3 linked regions of the Drosophila melanogaster genome follow. The protein of the gene in region 3 interacts with the protein of the main gene of each other region in a pairwise test. Each region holds a gene or a part of one and is shown on either strand. Other genes may lie near its edges.

What was found.
Region 1: the proteins of CG3335 (region 3) and RpS11 interact in a two-hybrid assay, tested with the Drosophila melanogaster proteins (one large-scale study listed by BioGRID).
Region 2: the proteins of CG3335 (region 3) and CG4229 interact in a two-hybrid assay, tested with the Drosophila melanogaster proteins (one large-scale study listed by BioGRID).

The regions. Positions count from the first base shown.
Region 1 is NT_033778.4:12,198,603-12,202,358, reverse strand, and holds RpS11 (ribosomal protein S11), read left to right. Parts: upstream 1-1,543; 5' UTR 1,544-1,572; coding exon 1,573-1,584; intron 1,585-1,808; coding exon of another isoform or gene 1,809-1,931; intron 1,932-2,117; coding exon 2,118-2,243; intron 2,244-2,319; coding exon 2,320-2,525; intron 2,526-2,606; exon of another isoform or gene 2,607-2,697; intron 2,698-2,769; coding exon 2,770-2,893; 3' UTR 2,894-3,046; intron 3,047-3,085; exon of another isoform or gene 3,086-3,176; intron 3,177-3,247; 3' UTR 3,248-3,335; downstream 3,336-3,756. Other genes in the region: CG8858 (uncharacterized protein), read left to right, coding at 3,529-3,556, 3,682-3,756.
Region 2 is NT_037436.4:16,555,221-16,558,585, reverse strand, and holds CG4229 (uncharacterized protein), read right to left. Parts: upstream 1,764-3,365; 5' UTR 1,691-1,763; coding exon 1,688-1,690; intron 1,501-1,687; coding exon 733-1,500; 3' UTR 628-732; downstream 1-627.
Region 3 is NT_037436.4:9,622,512-9,626,267, reverse strand, and holds the start of CG3335 (uncharacterized protein), read right to left. Parts: upstream 2,032-3,756; 5' UTR 1,932-2,031; coding exon 1,896-1,931; intron 1,844-1,895; coding exon 1-1,843. Other genes in the region: LanB2 (laminin B2), read right to left, coding at 2,878-3,089, 3,151-3,451, 3,509-3,756.

The sequences.
Region 1 (3,756 bases), on a different chromosome or scaffold from region 3:
ACTGTTGACTGGCCGAACTTTGGCAGTTGGGAAAAGTTTTTTCATTTGCGCGGGCAAACAAGAGTAACACCACACCCGAAATGGCAATGAGCATGGAAATCATAATAATAAGCGAGCGAAACAAAAGCGAAACAGTTATAAACTTTCTTACTGCTGTTTATGATGTCCCGGGGCTTATTTAATCGATTATGCCGAATGATGTCCTGGCCGCATAAGGCGCAATAGTAACAGGTAAACCATAAGCCCAACCCCAACCAGTTTCAGTTTACCTGAGGAATTTCCAAAACGACGAGCAGGCGGGATAAAATGGCCTTGATGGGTGGCGACGATGGGCGGTGGCGGAGCAGCTAAGGGACTGTAAAGGGATTTCATTGCCGTCACAGAGCTCGGCAAGGTGAAATTGCCGAGCGTGGCGAGGGGCCGACTGGGAAAACCTTCGCCAGCTTCACACGCATGCCACGCCTAATGCAGCTCCAACCTCTCCTGCCCCGCCCACAGGCCCCTTTTTTTGCAGGTTAAGGTCATCAGCAGCAGCAACAGCAGCAGCAAAAGCAGCAGCAGCAACAGCAGCTGCAGCAATGCTTGCCGCAATTTTATGCTGCAGACAGCTGCATTAACAATGGCAATGAAAACCAGGCAGAGCCTGGGCGAATGCAGCCTCCTTCGTCCTGCATTCTTTGCCACATCCGTGACGTTTAGCCGTAAACGGATTTATAGCAGCTGCAACGCCCGCCGCGGCTGCTGATTGCGCCTTGAAAGTGGGCGGCATTTCAAGGCCGCTCTTCTGGCACTCGTTTACGTTGTCATTACTTTTAATCCGACGTATTCGTGGGGCATGTGGAGAATTAGCGCTCTAGGTATTTCGCCTGTAAGTGCGGCGAGTTTGTGTGCCGCCAAATAAAAGAAAGCCCACAAAATGCAGGCACAAAGGCATTTTCCTTTTTTTTTTCTTGGCGTGGAGCACTATGTACTTGAGTGGTGCTTGAGAAAAACATGGCTTGGCTTTGACTAAATATTCTTAGTCAATGGCGAGTAGATGAAGGTCAATAGCGGCGACAAACTATCTGAATCAGCAGATATGCAAATTCGAGTGCGCCAAATAAAATATTCAAAAAGCCAAAACCCCATTTGCACAAGGGCGCCATCTTTCGGAATACGTTTGGTGCTTAGCACAGCTTTCAACCATGGTTTGAGTTTGTACTGCAAACAGGACTGGATAAATGCCAATGTTAAACTATCTGTTAATGTTAAAATAAGTTTTAGCTTAACAGCACAAGATAATATTCAAATCAAAATAATACAATATACTTGAAATAATAATATAATAATTTAATTAAATTATAGTTTTTATAAAGGGTATAGTGTTGTATGTTATCAAATGATGTAGTTATATGTTAGCCACAATATTTTACTAATAAAAGCCACTGTGCTAAAATGCCTAACATTGACCTTAACAGAGCCTGAGTTACCGCCTTCATCAGCTTGGTATTTCGGCACCGCTGTGCGACGGTCCCACTTGCGGCGCCATTGAGCAAACGGTCACTCTGAATCGTTCTTTCCTTTTTCATCAACATGGCTGATCAGGTAAGATTCCACGAGAGTGTGCTAAATAAATGAAATACGCGGGTTAAACGGCTGATGCGAACCCGCAACAAGATGCCCTCTGAAGTGTAAGTGACCAGTGAATGGATGAACCTATGGAGCAGCGAACAAACGCACTGGGAAGCGTAGCCTGGACCAGCTTCGCCCTAACCCCACTTTAGCGCATGGTGTCGCCAATAGTGAACACGAAATGATGTATATTGCAGCAAACCGAACGCTCGTTCCGCAAGCAACACGCGGTGGTCGTTGTGCGTCGCAAGAGCCCCAACTTGAAGAAAAGGCCCCGTTTCTATCGCCAAATTGGCCTGGGCTTCCGCGCTCCGGCGGAGGTAAGAGGAAGCCGAACAAACCACGACTAATGTTGCGCCCCCTTCGTTTGTTTTCCATTTCACGCCTTCCCACGCACGCCGAATGTTCCCGCCCGTGCCTGCCGCCTGCCTGTTGATCCGACAACACCACCACCACCGCCACCTTGAACCCCAAACACGATTCCAACCGAACGACTAACTAACCAGAACGAGCGCGCCTTCCAAAAACAATTCGGTGTCAACCTAAACCGCAAGGTCAAGCCCGGTATCACCAAGAAGAAGCTGCTGCGTCGCTCCCGCGATGTGGGACTCGGTTTCAAGACCCCACGTGAGGTGATGCCCAGGAGATAGCCCTTGAAATGCGTAGAATTCCTTCACTAACAACATTCGTATACTCCCCCTGCTATAGGCCATCGATGGTACCTACATCGACAAGAAGTGCCCCTGGACCGGTGATGTGAGGATCCGTGGTCGCATTCTGACCGGCGTGGTCCGCAAGGCCAAGATGCAGCGCACCATTGTCATTCGGCGCGACTACCTGCACTTTGTGCGCAAATACAGCCGTTTCGAGAAGCGTCACCGCAACATGAGCGTCCACTGCTCCCCTGTGTTCAGGTAAACATATCAATAAAGCTAGAGCTAAAACCCTTTTTCCATCTTCATGACATGGAAGATGTAAAAAGAGACCTAATACCTCATACTCTGATGATAAAATCATGACGGTCTTCATAAAACAAATTGCTGAAAGAACTTGACTCTTTTTACTAAATGTAAAAATACTGAAACTAAGCCTTGTGCGCTAGCTTTGTGCTTATACTGTAGGGCCTCCTACTAATCCGTGCTATTTCTTAATTTGCAGAGATGTTGAGCATGGCGATATTGTCACCATTGGTGAGTGCCGTCCTCTGTCCAAGACTGTGCGCTTCAACGTCCTGAAAGTCAGCAAGGGTCAGGGAGCCAAGAAGAGCTTCAAGAAGTACTAGAGCGGACAACTACCATTCGGGCGATAATATTTGTAGCAATTATTCTTTTTGAATAAAACAAAAAAAAGTAACTTTAACCATGGGTTTTCTCCAGTTCTTCTCTCAGTTTCCACAGCATTTCAGCAGTCGTGCAGCCAGCTATTCCATTAAAAGGTGTGTAAAATATATTATTTTGTAAGGCAGCTATTAACTGGCATTCTGATGATAAAATCATGACGGTCTTCATAAAACAAATTGCTGAAGAACCTTGACTCTTCTCAATAAAAATGAGAATACTGATATTTATCAAAGAAAAGCATATTGAAATAAATGCAAATACTCCATACTAATGACACGATTTCTTATTTTTTACAGAAACTAAAGATGACCGCAAGAATATGGACACGAATTGCATTGAATGTACATTATTAATATGATTTTCTTAAATAAAAGTTGATTGATTACAAATTATGTTTTTATTGAATGATTTCAATGGCAAAGATTTTCGCTTTACATTTTGAATTTGGCGGCGGTTTCATTTCGAAAAGTTCGAGTGTTGCAAAGCTTTCGAATGTAGCCAAAAATTGGCATCTGTGAAATGTTCAGCACAACAGCTGGTAACACTGAAAGAGGGAAACAAAAATAAAGCAAAAAAAATGGAAACTGGACCGAATGCAGAAATTGGTAAAAATTATAATTAGCATTGTGTGCATCAAACTTTATGTTTCATCAGCGAATAGAAGAGATGGGCTGATAATACACCAAAGCTGTGCCAAAAAAAAAAAACCCACCCAATCCTTCGATTTCAGAGCTTCTGGAGCGCGTCCTGTTGCGTCTGGGAAATGCGGACTCGGATGAGAAGCTGGAAGCCGCTGTGGGCAAGT
Region 2 (3,365 bases), 6.9 Mb from region 3:
AAATCCTTCAACGATTTTCATATCGTAGAGGGGGGGGGGGGTGGCATCAAAGGGGAGCAGCTGCCAGCTATGCCAGTTGGGCATAAATTCAGCTAATTGACGACTCACATATAAAAGCCCTTTTATTGACACTAAACAAGGCTGAAATGTACATACAAGTAAGCCAACTGACTGCGCAGCTCAAACCCACTCAGTGCGTATACGTAATGTTATGTTTGCTTTTGCCACAGGTTTGTAGCCCATAAGCCTGTTGACTTTAATTATATAAATACATAAGACCTTGCAACTATTCTGGGAATCAAGTCCTTGCTGGGGATTTATTGTGCAATCGAGCAATTTCTTAGTGTGTATTTACTTGATTCATGCTGCCATGTATAAAGATTTACTTAATTAACTCAAAAATTTGCATATTTCAATGAGGTGAAGAAAATAAATTTAAAAAAGGAAGAAGGGGATACATTACAAAAACTTATCTACTTTTTGTTGAACCTTTTAATCGCATTACTCTTCTTTTCCACTGCGCATTAAATATGCATTAATTATTAATAATCAATCAGGTGAAACTACATTTTCCAGGAATTTACAACTTTTCACCGCTATCTATAATAATGCATTAAACAATTTTTTAGTGTACTGTTCGAAAATTGTATTTTATTTAGACCAATTAAAAAACATCAACAACAATTAAAAGGTGGAACAAAACGTTAGCAAATCGCTGGCAAATTGAGAAATTTAAAATCTGTAACGCCTGATGGCACGATACTGGTAGCCATCGCTGCCCAGGACGGCACTCTCGCCTCCAGCTGGACCCTCCACGATGACCTCCTCGCCGCCGATCGGAGGCAGATACTCGGGAGCGGCCTCCCTCAGCTCGGCGGGCATCTCGGCCGGCTGCTGGTAGTGGTAGCCATCCTGGAGCAGTTGCCCAGAAACGGTGGGCACATCCACCACACGGACATCGGCTGGCTCCTCGGGTGCAGCCGCCTCGGTGGTTTCCTCAGCGGCTGGTGCAGCTTCCGTGGGCGGAAGGTACTCCCGGTTCACCTTGGGCTCGGCGGCGGACACCACCTCCTCGGTGTCATCGGCAGGTGGAGCTGCAGCTGCCGGAGCCTCGGGTGCAGCCTGCGCCTCCTGAGCAGGTGGCAAGTAGGCGGTGCTGGGTGGCAGATACTGCCTGGCTGGCTGCAAATGGGACACATCACGACGGTTGCGATGGCGCAGCTTAAGGCGGCGCACCGTGCGGTACTCGTAGCCCTCATCGCCCAGGACAGTGGCCTCCGGATCGGCTTCCAGGGCAGCAGGATCGGCATGAGCCTCAGCCTCCACAGGCTCAGCGTTCAGGAGGACAGCCTCGGTGACCGAAGGAGGCAGATATTCCACTGCAGCGGGATCCACCAGTTCCGAGACATCGCGGCGCAGCCGAGATTCCAATTGAGGAGCACCTAGGGCCACACTGGCCACAGCGGAGAGGGTAAGGACACCACCAAGCGAGAAGATTTTCTGGAAAATAAGTATTAGTTAGTGGAAGTATTTTCATGGGCTTGTTGAATTTTATTTTGCATTCTTTATTTAAGCCAAAATCCATTTTAAATTCCTCCTTTCCAAGTAGAATTTTGATCAATTTATTTGATTTGTTTAGCGACTTTACTTAATCCTTTGCAGCAAACTCAAATCCTTGAGGACTTACCATTTTTCAAGTTTGCCTTTTCGGGTTTACGATTTGCGTCTTGCAATTGAAAGTTGCCTGAGCTGATTGATGATTTGCTAATGGCCAACTGCTCAATATATAGCCAAAAGCGAGTTCGGCCATAATTAGAGAAACCAAAAACAAAAAGGCCAGTAACAAATGGAGCCACTTCAGAGTGGAGTGCTCTTCTTGGGTGCTTCGTCTTGCCTCAGTTTTGCTTTGGACAATGTCAAGTGGTCCAGGTTTTGGACCTCGTTCGTCGACTTGACCTTTAGGCACCGCATTTTTATTTCAATTATTTTCATAACGTTTTTTCTTCGAGCTGTAAATATATATTTTTTGAGGTGTTAATTCACAGGCCTGTCGAATTGTGCGGAAGTACTCTTTGAGAGTCTTCTATTCTATTTTCTCATCATATTTGGATCGCTTTTTGCACAGCTAATTGCCTGGCGGTGAATAATTAAGTTAATTTTAATGCGTATTACATGGAAAATGGGCGCAACCAACCCAGCTGTCACAGCCAATGAAATTGTCATCAGAACTTGTTGCGAAAATTATTTATTGCTTTCATTTTCGACCATGTATTTGCGTTTGTTAACCAAACACCGAGGGTCATTTAATAGGCATAAACATAATTGTGCATATTACATTTACCAAATTCAATTGCGGTCTTTATGCCGAAAAAAAAATTGATGAGCTCGCAAACACTCTTTGTTACTTTTATCTATAAAAAGCAACTACTTTGATATGTAAATGTATCAATCAATCATCCATCCATATAGCAATACTAATTTACGTACTTATTGTTATTTAAATTAAATGCCAGTCATTATTTGGTGATACCTTTTACGCAACTGTAACCCATGTTTACATTTACCTATATATATATATTAACCACATCTGAAAGCCAATTTCGCTGTCCTGTCAGCCAAGCATAAATTTGCCCTACTTAGCCTGGCGTTTAATTTTTCTGGTGGCATTTAATGAATTGTTAATGAACGAGTGCGACCCGTGCCATCGTATATATGGTTATAAGTTGGTAAGAGATTTGTACTCCCACGGCGGGATAAACCCACACCACCGTGCTGCATGTGGCACATAAATCATTCCCTGGTTGTCGGCCTAAAAGGCGGCAACAATTTCCGTTGGCTCTTAAAGTTTCCGCCGCAACGCAATAATTCTTGCCACACCGATCGACCCGTAAAAAGAAGACCAACTTGTTGCTTAGCCAAGTTTAAAGTGTCGAAGGAGGAGGCCCAGCTTTTCTTGCCCAGCTTCTTTGCATAAAAACCACTCATGTGTAATATTTTATGTTTGCAGGACGAGTGCGGTGGTGTATTTGCCGACTTTTTTGCCTTGCCATGTGGGGGAAATAATTTATAGCGAAACCCGGCATAGGCAGAAAAAAAAACCCAGAAACATGCAGATGGCATATAGGATATGTTGAGACATAAATTGTGCGGGGCTCATTGATTTCAGTCTGTGTGTGTTTGATTTCGATTCTATACATATGTAAAACTTTGTCTATTTGCCTCTTGCCTGTTTGTTTCACAGTCAATTTGCATGTTGGGTCAATGAAACGAACCATTGAGGACTTTAAGCTAGGGATGGCAGGGATATCGATGGATAGGACAACTTATGTCTTGAAAGCATTGTAAAATATAAACGGCAATCGAAT
Region 3 (3,756 bases):
AGACCTGCTCGGGAGCCCACTCCAAATAGAGTGGGGCATTCTTGAATTTACTGTAGGCCAACTTCTTGAAAGCTTGCCTCGCCTCCAAAGGATCACAGTACTCGATAAGTGCCGTAACCCCACTGGGAGGAAGCACAATCCTGCCAATTGGGCCAAATCGACTAAAGATGGGGGTAATCTCTGAAATCTCTGTGGCCGCTGGCAAATTCTTGGCTAGTATAACAGTGTTAGAACGTTTCTTTGCGGGCTCATCAAATGCATCAAGACGAACGCCTTCTTCCTCCAGGAAGCGCTTCATCTCGATGACGACTTGGGTTTCTCCCAAAGCCAAGCGCACGGCGGCACTACTGCCACCATCGCTTGTGTCCAGGATGCGTTCCTTTGAGGTCTTGAATTGCTTGGCGAGAATTTCTGCAACAGCATTGGCACCCAGAAACAATGTGTTCCAGCCAATTGGTTTTTGGGCGTTCTTCTTGAGTTTCAAGGCCTTCTTTTCTTTGAATGACAGACTGGCATCGTTTTCATCCAAATCCTCTTTCGGATTCTTTTCGATGTCCTTGCTGGGCAGAAGGTGCAAGAGACGGCCATGGAAATCAGTGCCATCGAGGGTATTAAAAGCCTTTAATGCGTGCTCCGGCATCATGTACGTAACTGTACCAAAGCCCTTGATTTTTCGCGTTAGCTTGTCGAGGGGCAAGTTAACCTCCACCACGGGACCGAACTGCTCGAAAAGCTTGCGCAGATCCTCTTCGGTAGTAGTGTATGCTAGATTACGAAAGAATATCCTCCCGGACTCGGAGATGTCATCTTCTTTGGATAAACTGTCCTGCTGATGCTTCCACTTCGCATTGCCCGCATCGACGGCGGCTGGTGCCAATGGTTGTCCACTCTTGCTCGCTTTGGTCACCTTGTTCTTCTCTGTAAAGTCGGAGAAGAATACTTGCTTGCCCTTGATGAAACTCTTGTTTTTAAGCATTCCCTTGGCCATGTCTTTCTCAGTTTTAAAACCCACGTAGCAGAAGCCGTGAACTTTGCTGGGCAGCCGAACGGAGTACGGTTTCAGGGGCTTGAAAAACTTTAGCACCTCCTGGCGCTTGGTGTTGTATGGTACATTGTGTATTTTAATGGTGAACAGCTCCAAATTTGATTTATCCGCCTTGGCTTTGGGTTTCTTTGCAGTAGCTTCGCCGGATGTGGTTGCCATCAGGGATTTCATATACTCAAGATCGCTGATGGGCTTTTCGGCCAGTTTATCGGTGTCTTCTTCCTCATCTGCCTCATCGCCTGAGCCATCCTCATCTCCTGCATCTGCATCCACTCCACTGTCATCTCTGGCAGCTCGAGATTCTTCCTGTTCCTCATCATCCTCTTCTTCGTTCTCCCGATTTTTATTTATACCCAAATCGTTTCCCCACAGCGTTCGCGACTTGTCATGCGCCTCTAGAAACTCTTGGAATTCCGGATCGTCTTTGTGTCTGCTCAAAATTTGGTCCACCTTGTCAACTTTATCTTTCTTCTTCTTTTTCTCAGACTCCTTAGCCTTGGCAGCCGCCTCCCTTTCCTTCTCCTTCAATTTGTCTAGGTTCTTCTTGCTGTCCTTGGCGTACTTGCTCCAAGATTGTGGCTTATCTTCGCTGCCCAAGGCAGCACAGGATTCGACGCGCACCCGGCTGGTCTGAATGCATGTGTTGTCAAAGTGCCGGATGGCCGATTGGGCCTCCTCCTCGGTGCTGTAACCCACGAAGCAAAATTGCCGAAACTTTCCATCGGGCGTGTATTTTAGTTGCAGATCCGTAATCGTGCCCTGGGCACCAAAAATCTGACGCAGTTTGTCTTCGGTGATCTACAATTTCAGTTTAAGTAGATGCTTTTTTTTAACAAGTCTACATACTCACATGCTTGGGCAGCTGTTTGACTATAATTCGTGACATCTTTTGTGGCTAATTTGTCGGTCTGCAGCTAAAAACTCATTTAAGAAAACTTTTGTTTACAAACAAATTGAAACAACACGTGCATTAGATATGCAAAACGAGCGATAGTAGCATCAGTAGTATCGAAAGTCGAAATTTGTATACTATCGAAAAGTCTATCGTTTCATCGACTCTACTTTACGTTACATTTTACATGTAGATATTCAAATTTATATATTTTTTAAGTTGTGTTTCGATTATAATGGGTGATGGCAAATCAAAGCTGAATGAAAAAGTAAAATAACCTCGACTTCAAAACGTCACTTCGCTTGAGCATCCTTATATTTCCCCAGTTCAAGTTTAAAGGGTGGATTTTTACAAACTTACAACGTTGGAAAAGTTATATTTTGAAAGGAAACTCTTTAAGCGACTTATACACAAAGATACATGGTAATTGTATTGGCACATTAAACGTAGATGACAAATATGTTAATATATAAGTGTTTAGAATAGACTTCAGGTGGAGCTACGGTAGAGATATAGATATGCGATTGGATTGTCGGATTGTGGGAGTACAAGGTCTTGTGTGTTTCGTTTAGTGTCTCATTTTTAACATATAATACAGTCCGTTGCTGGCTTGAAACTGGTGAAGCACAGTTGGCAGTTGATTCTCGATGTGGCCATCATCCATCCTCTTGTATCCGTTGTATCATTATAGTATATGGCATACAGTAGGCGAACGATGATGCGTTAAAGCTTAACGTTGCTCAGTTGGTCTCCTTTGTGGATCCTTGGATCCTTGGGCTGGGTCACTAAACAGAATATTTCGGCTAAGGCACTAAAATTACATAATTTCATTCAACGTCTACGTTCTATCATAAATCTGATTTGTTCGTCTCGTCTCAGATCTTCGTTCTTAGTTAAAATTGAAGTAGTTGTTATGGGAAGTGGGGTTGTTCGCAGAGCTCTAGGGTTCCAGGCGATTGCGACTGAAGCAGCTATCGGGGAGAGCCTTGGAAATAAGTCCAATATTCTGGACTTCATCCTTGAGCTCCCTCAGCTCGGCATCGTACTTGTCGATCAGATTCTTCTGAATGGTGCGCTGTTCCCGGTACTTTTCGATGCGTCCCGTCAGGTTGACGCGATTGATCTCACCCTCCACAGTGGCCAAACGATTCTCTGCGAGATTAATTAGATTACTCATAAGTAAATTCAGATTAGAGAGGTTTCTGTTTCTTACCCAATCTATCCAAATCGCCCGTGTTGATGTCCTTCAGATTCTCCAGCTCATCCTTGATGGCCGTCAGGTCGGCATTGGCCTTCTCGATCTGCTTCTGGGCCTCCTGGGTATCGGCCTTGGCCTGACCCACCTTTCGCTTGGCGTCGTCCACCAGATTGTCGTCCTTGGTCGAGCTCTCCTCCAGCTTGAAGATGTCCATTTCGGTGAGTTTCACGCGATGATTCAGTTGGTCGGCCTCTTCGCGCAGATTGCGGGCAGCCACCTTGGTCTCATTGGCTTTGCGGCGGATCAGCTCAGCATCCTGTCAAGAAATTTTACGAATTTAGTAAGGATAATAAGATGTCCCTGAATGACTTACCTTGGAAGCCTGTTCGGCATACTTCAGCTGCGCCTCCTGGGCATTCTTCTTGGCCTCGTTGGCATTCTTATTGGCTCCATCGAGAGCCTCCTCCGCCTGGCTGATCAGGCTTTCCGCATTCTGAATCTCCTTCTCGATGTTGGGCACCGTCTGCAGGGCTTTCTCCGCACTCTCAGAAGAGCGCTGGACATCCGACTGGAAGCCGGCCAACTTCTCGTAGGTATTGTTGGCCTCCTTTAGGGTATTGT